2 linked regions of the Caenorhabditis elegans genome follow. The protein of the gene in region 1 interacts with the protein of each later gene in a pairwise test. Each region holds a gene or a part of one and is shown on either strand. Other genes may lie near its edges.

Evidence for each region.
Region 2: the proteins of axl-1 (region 1) and T07D4.2 interact in a two-hybrid assay, tested with the Caenorhabditis elegans proteins (one large-scale study listed by BioGRID).

What each region holds. Positions count from the first base shown.
Region 1 is NC_003279.8:8,512,136-8,518,016, reverse strand, and holds axl-1 (Axin-like protein 1), read right to left. Parts: upstream 4,118-5,881; 5' UTR 4,099-4,117; coding exon 4,027-4,098; intron 3,893-4,026; coding exon 3,692-3,892; intron 2,797-3,691; exon of another isoform or gene 2,692-2,796; coding exon of another isoform or gene 2,626-2,691; intron 2,151-2,625; coding exon 2,031-2,150; intron 1,988-2,030; coding exon 1,938-1,987; intron 1,829-1,937; coding exon 1,703-1,828; intron 1,660-1,702; coding exon 1,495-1,659; intron 1,225-1,494; coding exon 1,148-1,224; intron 1,100-1,147; coding exon 1,015-1,099; intron 968-1,014; coding exon 812-967; intron 763-811; coding exon 612-762; 3' UTR 504-611; downstream 1-503. Other genes in the region: tnsl-1 (Tonsoku-like protein), read left to right, coding at 1-57, 108-247, 295-483; K02B12.2 (Myb_DNA-bind_3 domain-containing protein), read left to right, coding at 5,666-5,729, 5,783-5,881. UniProt on the Caenorhabditis elegans protein: Works in parallel with pry-1 in negatively regulating bar-1 signaling in vulval precursor cells and Q neuroblasts. Shown to have a role in excretory cell development.
Region 2 is NC_003280.10:8,869,032-8,875,748, forward strand, and holds T07D4.2 (UPF0046 protein T07D4.2), read right to left. Parts: upstream 4,912-6,717; 5' UTR 4,910-4,911; coding exon 4,869-4,909; intron 4,803-4,868; coding exon 4,775-4,802; intron 4,368-4,774; coding exon 4,277-4,367; intron 4,041-4,276; coding exon 3,916-4,040; intron 2,924-3,915; exon of another isoform or gene 2,917-2,923; coding exon of another isoform or gene 2,752-2,916; intron 2,240-2,751; coding exon 1,903-2,239; intron 1,848-1,902; coding exon 1,759-1,847; intron 1,716-1,758; coding exon 1,639-1,715; intron 1,435-1,638; coding exon 1,319-1,434; intron 1,274-1,318; coding exon 1,089-1,273; intron 957-1,088; coding exon 855-956; 3' UTR 518-854; downstream 1-517.

The sequences.
Region 1 (5,881 bases):
TACGGTTGCTTGCGAATAATACTTCGATTGATACTATTATCCCATCAGTTTTTATAGGTTTGTATTCCATTAACTTTATCCAAAATACCAAAAAGCTCAATTTACAGGCATGTCTCATCTCAAGAAGTTGGATTTGAGCTTCAACTCCTCGTGGATTTCCGATCAGATCTGGATTCTGATATTGGGAGAATTGAAGAATTTAGAGGAACTTACCATAAATGAAACGAAAACAAAAGTGGAGTTTGAGGTGCATTCATGAAGATTTTTATAAAATGTTAACCTTTTCAATTTCAGTCTGATTGGCTTTCGCATTTGTGCTCATTTTCTGCTCGTGGATCAGATCTTCATTGGGATTCTGTATTTGAAACATTATCAGTTATGGAACGAATAACTCATGTAGATGTTAGTTATTCTACAGTCGACCCAAGTCTCCCACAAGAACTACACAGCGGATGTCCCAGAGCCCTTAATATTTTGTATTAGTATCTCACAATTATCTTATCAATTATCGTCAATACTGTTTATCACATTTTGCTGTAAAATGAAATGAATAACCGTACAATTAAAAGACAAAAACTGACGACAATATCTTTACATACGAATAATTAAAGTTAAATTAAATCATGATCTTCTGGAGGAGGACACATTCTACAAATTGCTGTAATTCTATTTTGAAACACGGGAAGAATGTCATCATCATGGAAGAGCAGAGTCCATTGATATTGAGCGGAACCATCTTCGCATGTTGATTTAAAGAAAAAGCTGAACAAACTTTTTTTTTGAAAACTTGGCGATATTAAAAATATTTTACCGGCAGTTATCAGTATAGTGAAGACCGAATAAATGTCTAAAATATCTTAAAGTGACGGATTGTGCATGATTTGCTGAAATCTTTGCCACCATCGGAACATCATTCTCGTATCGTAGTTCTACAGTCATTTTTGGAGCCTCTGAACCTCTTCTCTTTCTGAAAATATATATTATTTAACCGCCATTCTTGATGTGAAAGCTTACGGTTGTAATGTGGAAAACCCGTTGTTTGTTCCCGTAAATAATCGATTTGGTCTTTCAAGTGTTCCTTGATTGGATTTTCCATAACCTGAAATTAATTCTCGAATAAAATTCTTGAAAACTGGGAACTTCCTACGTTCAAAACTCCAAAAATCACTAGCATTGCTTCCGAATCCGCTGGAATCTGATGTGGCAACTTGTTGGCGTTTCTTTCTGAAATTTACTTCAATTTATCCGAAGAAAAAGTATTTAGACCGTGTGACAATTTTTTCTCGAACTCAATTTTTTCTAATATATTTTTAATGTAAAAAACTGTGGGCAATTGAGAACTATTTCCGAGTACTGTAGCTTCGAAGTTTCGGTCGTTTTGAGACCAGGCACCGTATTTTTTATGTTGAAAACCTGAACACAGTTTGGCAATTATTGTTTAAACATGAGCATTTGCCGAAAATCGGCAGATGGGTTCTTTGTCACAAGACTCACTTGTAAAGAGATTCAAAACGTTTCGGAAGATTTGAAACTTTCAATGTATTAGTCTGTGTGCTCCTCGGTGGCGGTGCAAATCCATCAGTCCCATATGGAGTTGAAGATTTTTCTTTTCGTGGCGATTCTGCGTGTTCTTCTGTTTCTGATGAGTTTTTTGTTTCTCTAAAACGATTTCTAAATATTCGAAATATCAAAAAGCACGTACTGTAAGGAATTAAGGCGTGTACAGACAGCATTGAAAAACGAAAATCGATCATCTTCCGACTCATGGGTTACTGTACTTTGACCTATTTCGTGGCGGGATGATTTATCGATTGCGTCTTCATTGAACCTGAAAATTTGTGTGACTTGAGAATCTTCTTTCAATTATTTTATTTAGTGGGGTGTCTACAAAACGGCTCTACTATCCGGTTCGCATATCTTAATTTATTTTTACTAACCATATTGTAGCACCTTTATTTGAAGAACTTGTTGATGACGCATCTTCCCACTGAAAATAAATTCGATAAATTTTAGAGTCAACCACAAGTTACAGTAGTATTAACATCGGCTGTTGTCGTTGAAAATTCAGTGTGCATTGACCGTAAATGTTGGAAAAGTGGTTGTTTGAGAGGATCAAATAAGTCTATGTACGGGGGTTTACCATCGAGAACCTGAAAAATGTTATGGTTTCACAATGACATTTGGATAAAAATGTTCTCATCAACTTCCAATAAAAAAGTTGTATTGATGAAAAGACATTATTCATGATGATATCCAGTTTTACTTTTCTTGAAATTTTATGATATGGATATAAGATTTTTCGAATAAAATAAATATGACAATTTTACAAATTTTCAACAAAAAAGGTAAGATATGAGTAACAGGTAATTCAGATCTACCGTTAGAAAAGGTACTGTAATATGTCGACTGATATATCTACGTCCATTTTTTTGAAAATTTAAATATTTTTAAAATGCCGGATCTGAAACTTTTAGGAAAATTTTAGGAAGGTGACCCTACGGCAATGCTCGAAAATAGTCGGAACTGTAAAATCTTTTAACGAGCGATTTTTCATAAAGCAGTATTTTAATAAATATGAAATTACTAGAAAAAGTATAAAAATTGAAACAATAATCAATTACTCACATCAATTGAACCTTCATCATTATAATGGGGTGTGAAATAATTCCACCGTCTCGACATTGTAGCCATGGAGGTAACAAAATCAAAAACTAATAAATATCTATTTGAAGAAATGAAGCACTTCTTCTCTTTGTGTTGACCAACACTTTCAAGCCTAATGACGTGTCAACCTGTGTTGATCTACACTAAGAATTTGTGTTAAGTGTCCTCACTGTGTCTTTTGTGTGTATGCACATGGTACTTGACAGGTATCCGAAGAAAAGAACTGCCAAACTGTTTCTCTTCTTTTTTATCACTTGAAAGAACAGAGAACACGCCCGAGAAATGTTCGGAGAGATGAAAAAATCCTGCGGTTCTACGGAAAAACGGCTGCCTAAATTTGAGTAAATATTCCAAAGTAAAGGTAAAGTATGGCAAGTGGGGTAGTTTTCAAAAAACTACTCCCGTGGTGCTAGAATGAATGATTATCATATCAAAACCTTCTTTGATTTTTTTAGGTTATGTTTTAGTTATTAGTATTTGAACATTGTAGAGATTTGAATCAGGTTTCTTAGGACAAGAAATCAAAAAACAATTTTATTCAAAACTCCGATCGAAAACTTTTGCGAAGTTTTTAAAGTAATTTTTGTAATTTTTTAATAATATTGAAAGCTTGTAAATGCAAAAAAAACGGAGAAAAAAATGTACAGTTTAGGAAACAAAATTAGCATCAAGGCTCAAAATCAGGAGAAAACGAAAAGTTGACCACATTTTTGTTCAAAAATTTCGATTTTGCTGGATTTGTTGATTTTGACCTAGAATATTCGCAGGGAAACAATTTATTGATTTTTCATAACTTCTGGACTCCAAAAATGTTGCCCACATCTGATTCGGACGTGCAGGAATGTTCAGAAGTTATCAAAAGTACAATTTTTGAAAATTTGACTGAAATTTTCGAAATATCAAAAATGGAGTTATTAAATTAAATATTTGGGCATGCTTGACTATCATATAAGTATTTTTTACAAATATTCCAACCGACGATATTTCAACTGACTAGACAAACATTAACAAGTATATTGATCATTACCTCATGTACCCGTGTGGAGATCTTAGTGCGTATTGAATCACCGATGACGTGGCATGTTCCAGTATTCAAACTGACGTATTTTCGATGAATATGCCTAGCCAATTTTAAAAGAGATAGAGATGGAGAACCAGTTTTCAGTTTGGATTCAAAATCCAAAATTGACGTGTACAGGGTTATCGAATCGGCGTTCCGCGATTCTTCCTAGAACATGATTTAATTATTTGGCAGGAAATTTAATTATATTTACATAGATTCATAAATTAAAAAAATTAATTTTCAGAACGTAATTACTGTATACAATACGATTTTTCCAAACGATACAACGATTACTCTACCTTTTGACACCATTTGGCAAATGCGGTATCATGAAGAACTCGATCAATGGAGAATTTCGATCGCATCGTCATTATTTCTTCGTTTCATACTGAAAGTTTTGTATTTTACCCATGTAAGATCATTTATCAACAAGAAAAACTTGGGTTAAAAATGATTAAATATTTGAAGTATGGGTGGAGATTGAGCAAATGCGCGAAAAAAACGTCGAAATGTTAGACGGAAAGAGATGAGATATTGTGTCAAACCGATCGAGAGCCCTACCGTCTTGGCAAATAAATTGACGATAGAGGGAGAGAATGAGTGTGGAGACAGGAAATGGAGAAATTTGTGTTCAAGTCTCGTAAAATAAGGGTTTAAAATGTTATAGCACGATTTAGAGTATATAGCTGAAAAGTCTATATAAAAAAAATTCTGCCAAAATGCAAGCTTTCTAGTAGAGTTCAATATTTGGAAGGATTTTCTAACTTTTTCAATTCGGGAATTGATGGTTATCACCTTGTTTATTCTAAAGTAGTCTTAAAACTGAAGTTATAAAAGCCGTGGGTTTCTTGTTTTGATTTGAAATTTCTTCACTTTATTAATTATTGAAAACTCGCTTTTTATCTCGAATGCGTCTATCGCGAGAAGTTGGCATATCAGTAAAAGTGGGGGCTACTTCCTTCGGAATTCTTACTGGAAAGAATGTCTTTCGTGACGTTAAACTGTCCGAAACACTTATTGTCACTATTTTCAATTTTTCTAAAACTAAGAGCACCGATTTCTGAAAGAAAACATGTAGTAAAATTCGATAAATATTGATGTATCAATTTTTAAATTGTTAAAATATAAAACCATGGAATGCATAGCGAATGTGGGCATATAGCAGTTTTGAAATTTCCATAATCAAGGAGTGTGTCGTTTCGCGCGAGAAGTTGACCTTCGATGGATTGACTCACTTACTTTTACATTCAGCCGACACAAATGAACTGACAGATGTGGGAACAGATGGGGATGGATGTACTCTTCAACAGTACACACATGATATAACTGAAATTGACGAATTTGATATTATGACAGTATATTACTCAATTCTTTGCATATAAAAATGTCTACTCTGACTAGAAAACCTTTTTTGGTGTCCAGAGAGTTTGGGATCGAATGATATACTTTCTGAAAACAATAGAAGTTTCGAATTGAAAGTAAAGTGTCTTTTGTGCATTTGGGGTGAACTCCGTAGTTTAGTATAATTTTGGAATTTCTATTATTGGGAAAAGTGTCGAAGGCGGGCAAGAGCACTGATGACCTTATAGGCCACCATTGAACTCTTCCGGAATGTTATCAACAACTGATATCGAACTACACTCATTTCCTGGATTCCATTATAATTATCTTTTCCCTTAAAATCTCTGCTCTCGAGAATGTTTTCGTGCACATGGTAGTCGACGGATTAGATAAGAGACATTGAAAGGGAGAGACTAATTATAGACAGGTGTATTGAGAGACTCTATGGTGGAAGAACGGACCTTCCTAAAGGTTTAGAGCAACAAATCGATCGGTTTTGAGCACCATTGCATGACACTCATAGATGTAGTCATTTGAATCTTTCTACATTCGATAGTTATCCAATTTTTTGAACAGTTCTGATTTTTCAACAAAAAAATGATTATGGCCGATGAATCTGTGGATCAAATGAGAATCGAGGAATTTCTAGTGATAGTTAATCGTAAGTTATTTTATTTTTCTTTACAAGATTCCCAATAAATATCCGTATTATAGATTACACTACTCATGTAAAGTCTACAACCGATCTAAGCAAATGCGGGAATTGCACATGGGTTCTTCCGAAATTGGATGCACTTCAGAAGAAAATGATCG
Region 2 (6,717 bases), on another chromosome or scaffold:
TTCATTTCGGAAAAAATTGCCAAAGAATTTTCATTATTCCTAATGGATTGGTTCCTTTTTCTATTCTATCATATATTCTAGGTCAGAGATTAATTTCTACGTGCAACTGAATGTGGCGCTTGTTAGCTTTTGTGGTGATTTAAAACTAAAACCTATGTGTATTCTCAACTGACACGGTGGATACTGTCTGACGTAAGAAAAATATTGTATCTAAAAAATTACAGACTATATGAAACAACTCTGGGTGGAAATCATTCTGACTAGATTTCACCCTGTTTCAGATATTTCTGGTCTAGAAATAATGAATTTCAGTAAAATCGAAAAAAGTCTAATGTTGATGATATCTCTGAGAAAAGACATCGATGAATAACAAAAGAGATTTGTCTGTGTGGAGCAAGAAGCCGGCACTGCCGGAACCGCACCACACATGGCCAATATCTGATTTCAGAGGGCAAAAGAGGAGGTTGCAGCATAATTTGGTATTGAATTTCATAATGTTTGACTCGAAAGAGGCTCACAAATTGGAATGTTTTATTGCTGGTTAGCGGGAGCAATTTTGGTGAAAGAAGAAGAATTGGAAGACGAGAAGAAGCAGTTGCAGAAGCTGTCGCAGCAGAAGCACAATCAACCTTCTCTTGCTCTTTTTGTGGTGCTGTTGACTGCGCATCGAGTTCATAAAGACTCATTTCCGGATGGGATATTATTTTGTTCTTATGGGGTTGGAGGAGGGCTCAATGAGTGAGAAAAATAGATGATGATGGTCGTGGTGTGGAAAAAGAGCAAAAAAAATTAAAAAGTGGTGGTATAATTATAACTACAAAATGACACAGAGGTGACAGTGAGAGGAATTTAATTTATTTCTTCTTTTGGAATCTTTTATGAATTTTCTTCACATTTTGAATGTAGAATTGTTTGGTGTGAGGGTGCACTGGGATATCGAATATTACTGGCTCGTTCTGAAAATTTTTAACGATGAAATTGTCAAATTTAATAATCATGGATAGTCTAAATTTGTGTGCTGCTTGAATAAAGTCGTCCCAGAGTCATGCCCAATTTTTCTCAATAAGTCAAAATTCACGAATGATCACCTTTAAATCCAAATTTTCATTACACATGCAGCAGTTAATGAACTTTGTATATCCATCAGTTGTGCATCCGTAGCCCTCATGAATGTGTCCAAAAACGTGATACTTTGGTCGAACCCGCTTGAAAACTGTGTTCAACAACTCGGCACATCCCATTCTCTGTCCATTGTTCATCATATCGCCGTGTCCTGCACAAAATTTGTGTTTTACTATTTGTGGTACTTTGAACTTACCAAGTGGAGGTGTATGAGTTAAAAGCACGTCAACGCCCGCCGGGATCAGGTTCCATTTGTCCAATAGTTGTTGTCCACGAGAGAGATTGAATGCCCAATTGTCTACTTTTGGTTGCCTGCAATTTTTGAAATTGTGCTTTGATACAATGGGTTCAATATGGAACTCATAGAATTATGCTGTGAGAAAGAATATTCAATTCGAACTTATATTTTTTATTGATCTACAAAATATATAATGATAATACTTGTCGAAGGTGACAATTGTTTCAAATTTCGACTTGAATCTACCACAATTTTTTCAGAAAACTTGCAATCCTTACCATGGCGTTCCATAAATTGTGATTCCAAACAGTTCGATTACATTATCCTCCAAATAAATTGCATTTGATAACAAATCCTACAAAAAATTGTATACTTTCATAAATTGAAATCATGCTTACTTTCGCTGAAATTCCACCCTTTGAATCAGAATGAATTGCTGATAACAATGCTTGTTTCAGTGCCATTTCTTTTGGTTCAGACTCTTGTTCTGCAAATTTTGTTGTGGTGATTGATCGTTAATGGTTTATTGGAGTTGAACTTACTCAATTTCAAAAATGTGTCGTCAAATGTGCATTCGTGATTTCCACCTATCACCACTTTGTAAGAGTATTTCAGTTTTCCAAGTAACTTATTAAAATTGTGAACTTCATTTGGAAGACCGCATGATGTGAAGTCTCCAGCCACGAGGAGAACATCTCCAGGTGGGAGTTTTGATATATCAAATTGTTCTCCATGTGTACATCCAATACATACAAATCTCACATGATCTGGTTTTACTGGAGTATCAAGTCTCATCTGACGAACTGGTTTCACTGGTCTTTTTTCTTTCAGCATTTCCCATGCAAGTGTTGGATCTTCTGTGTATTGATGAAGAGATACCTGAAAATAAATGTATTGTTCTGAAGGAGAAGCTTGCGGAGCAATTAATTTCCCATTCATCTTGTTGTTAACGACATTAAACACATGGCTTGTGTGGCTGTTGTCAACCTTTGACCGGATATAACAATACAATTAAAATTTTCAAATTATTATACTGTGAAAATATAGCATTAAAAATAAACATTGCTATACATAGGGTTTAAAACACAAACTGGGCCAAACGGCATGCAAAAAACGTACCGGTCTTTTATGAATTTTAGTCTCTGAATACCAACTTTTTATAGAATCTTGAGATTTTCTGTGTATCCTTAGGAAATACATTGAAGTATTAGTGGTAGAACTAAATAAATCAGGAAATTGAGACTCAAGTTTTTTACTTCTTTTTTTCAATTTCTGTTCGTACTAATAACAAAATGGAAGCAATTTTTTGACAAATGTTGGCCCCCCATGTAATTTGTTGTTAACAAGCTTGAACTGACAACAGCTGGCGACTAAAGACTCTTTGAACTTACAGTTCTTAACTCTCGAACAAGTGATTCTCGTCGATTTGGAGATGTTCCACTTATAGGTCCACCAATCAGAGAAAGACGTCTCTGTCGGTTACGGTATTCATCTTTAATAGACTGATCCCCAAATATAGAAGTTGTTCCGAACCGATTGCTCGACTTGGAGAACATTTTCAGGCTGTGTGAACAATTGATAAGAAAGAAACAAATGAAGAAATAGAGCCGAAAAGATTGAATGGAGAAGTAAGATTCAAAAGATTTATGGCGAGTATCTGAAGTGTGTCAAAAACATTGACTGCACTCAAATGGTTTTCGATCTAACGATGAGGTCACGAGGTGACAGGAAATGGGATGGGAGGCCAAAAGTTGCAAACGAGACATCCGATATATGTATGTGCTGGTCACTTTTTGTTCCTTATCTTTTTGAAGGATACATCAAACTAAATGCAGAAGGATATTCAGTTACCCGTTCTTTTTCTGTTAATAGTTAGTTCTCTTTTCTTATTTTTTAAATATATGTATACTTGGGAAAGCAGTGGTTTTCGGCTGAAACTAGATTGGAAAGATTGGACGAATATGAAACTAACTGCCGGTCGCCTGGACAAGTTACCATAATACGAATGCTCTGCGAGTTTTTGAAATGTTTCAAAATACTGAAGGTTTGAGAGAAAGTCTGAAAGAATGGGAGCCGCGTTTTCTCATAATTTTTCACATTCAGAAAACTGTGAATAACCTCGAGCAACAATGGAAATCGAGCAAAATGTTTTCTTCAAAGGAAGAAAAATAAAAAATTACTGAGAAAATTTCGTAGTCAAAAAAATCCCCGAAAAGCAACTAAAAATTACGAAAAAAAAAGGTCGGTAACTCGGTAAAAATGAAACTGATAGGCTGGCACATCTCAGGGAAAGGTGAGAAAATGTTCGTCAGTGGATCATCTGATGAATAGTGAATCAAAGACGACCATCATCGGCTCTCAGATATCTTTTCTTTCTTTTTTTCGTTTAAATCAAAAAAGTAGAGACTCCAACGTCAGTTGGTATGCCGACTCAATATGAGATAGATTGTTTCTTCTTTTCATCAGATTGGTATCATGCTCGAACGCATTTATCATTTTATCTTTCATTTTGTTTTTCCAATTGTTGATGGGAGCTAACAACATAGAAAACCTACCGGATTTGACAGCTTCCGTCGGGTTTTTTTGTCCATTGGAATGCCAGATGCAATTGAACCGCGGCGACTTGGCGAAGCATTTCCGAGTTCAAAACTGTCGACGATTATTGAGCCGGAACTTCTTCCTGATAAAGATAGTTATGACAACTTAGAAATAGACGGAAGTATTCTTTTTTTTCTGAGAATCAATCTGAATTGTTCTCTGGTTTTTTTTATAAAGTTAATAACTTATTTTAAAAGAAGAACATTGAAGCTGCCATCGTGGTATTCACACGTTATTCAACCTTTACTACACATTTTGCTGTTTATTCTCATTTTTTACGAGAATCGGGAGAGAGGCAAAAAGAAATTATGAACTCACTTCTATCTCTGTTGAATCCAATCAATTCCTGATCTTCTATCATCGGCTGCAAATATGATGCAGCCCGGTTTCGCGAATGGAACATCATTTTCTGAAATAAATATATTATGTTAAAATATGAATGTTTTGAAGTGGAAGTATCATATAAATAGAGCAAATTATTATTTGTAGCTTCGAGGTTCGAGGACTACTACCAAAAATGTTAAGGAACTGAGACATAAATCTTTTACAAATACAGTTTTTAAACGGAATGGTGATACACTTTATCTATCAACTTCTGTTTGAGAATATAGCTCCATAAAATCAGGTTGTAGTGAAGAAAAAATCAGGACAAGTGACCAAAGCACGGGAATGGTTCTCAAAGGTACCCGCCAATGAAACCTTCCATCTTCTTCTTCCCTCCAGCATTTCCATCTTATCCATCTTAACCCCCTCCCCTTCTTCCTCTTTTTTCCATTTGATCAGAGTTCTATCCTTCTTCAATACCAATTGGCTCACCTCATCTTGTGGTACAGGAGCGGAGCTTCTGAAAACACAAAGATTGAAACATAAAACAAACAATGAGTGCAGCTACAAAAAATCATTGACGAACCTTCGATTGAGTGACACTTTGAGCAATGCAGGACTCAGCATTCCTGCAAAAATCTCGATGATTTTTTGGGTCGACAAGCAAGAAGAAACGACAACTTTTTGAGAAGTGACAAAGTGAAGTGAAGGATGACACGAAAGTTCGGGAATGTTCGGAATGAGATAAGATGTGTCTGGATCATGGAATTAGGTACTTAAACACGGACAAAGCAATTCAGCATTGAGTGCAGAATTTTCTTGAGCAAATGAGTAGTTTAATGAGATCAACTCTCATTTAAAGATGTGATTAAAAAGATCAAGGGTTTTTGTTGCAAAGAAGTGAGACATAGGATTCGTGACGTAGTTGAATATAGCTGTTGGCAATGACATAATTGGTAAAGTTTATACTAACAGAGCAAATAACATTTATCAAGATATTTAAAATACAGTAGACCGTGTTTTCTCAATAGAAACGCCACTCATACCTTGCACAAGTTTGGACCAGCTCTTGCTAATGTCGTATTGTTTTTCAAATCTTTATTGCGGTACAATGTATCTCGAGAGACGGCAAGGGTTGAGTGCCACCAGGTCACAAGCTGATAAGTGTGCAACTGAGAAAAAGTACAACATATGCCAAACGTATCACATAAATCACATAGAAATTATCTACTCACATGTTCTATTATGAGAAAATTAATGCAGTGGAATAGGAAAATATAAGTAAACTCTAAACTGTAGAAATAAAGTTTCTGAACACTTGGAAAAGGTTAAAAATTGGAGCCTAGTTTTTATTGAGATTTCATCCAAACTGTAGCGATTCAGAATATATTTTTGTATTGCCCTAGTATAAGTAAAGACTAATTACAAAAACTACTATAAGTATTTACAAATAGATACTGTTACGAAGGTCCAGTAGCCAATAATCTACCTCTAAACTCATTCAGAAGTTCTAATTGTTTTATTTTTAGTCATTCAATTGATCTTTCCATCATTATCTTATTAACTATTTCCATTTCTATTTCAAGTTATATGTAGTGATATGCGAATTATAAGTGAACAAATTCAAGCTAAAATTCTGAAAAAATATAATGCGAAACTAACGTAATACTAGTATCATAGAAATAAGAAAGCAAAGCTGAAAACATTGCAAAGAGTAAAGTGACTGGTTCTTCTTCTGCTTCTGTTTTTTGAACAGCTCATCAGGTGTTGATTTACTCACCACCAGTAGCAACCACTTTGTGCACACAATGGCTCCACCTTCATACCTTCCTCCCCCACCTCATCGTTCTCAGTCTCACCACAAAGACTTGTCATAACTCATCAATAAACTTTTTTAACACCCCACAACGGGTCACAATAAGGGATCAAAGTTGAGCCGAAGAGTCGACTGAAAGAGAAGAGTCTGGTGGAAAGAGATAATAATGATGAGTGGTGCACAAAAAACAGGGAAGATCTGATGAAGAAGGTCGATGTATTACGAGTGATGGATTAGGATTTGATGAGGGCGGATCGAGTTGTACTCTCAATTAATTTGTCGACATCAATCAATTTGAAATCTTGAACTTGATTGAATTGGTGGAGCTGGGAGATATTATTGAAGGGTACTTATGGTAAAAATTCAAAGATCCTTGACTAGTTTGTAGGTCACAAGATGCAATAGTACACAGGAACCGAGTTGTTTGGATGTGTTCTTGACAAAACTAGTGAACTTTATATTTAGGATTTAATGAAATAATATATTTAAAGTGCGTCAAAGCCAGAAATATTTGGAAAGCTGGTAAAGCTGAGCCAATTATGAATTTCAGATAAAAGGGATAGCATTTAGGGGAAACTTCATGAAAGCTGTTAAAACAATTTGGTTAGTTTTTAGAAGG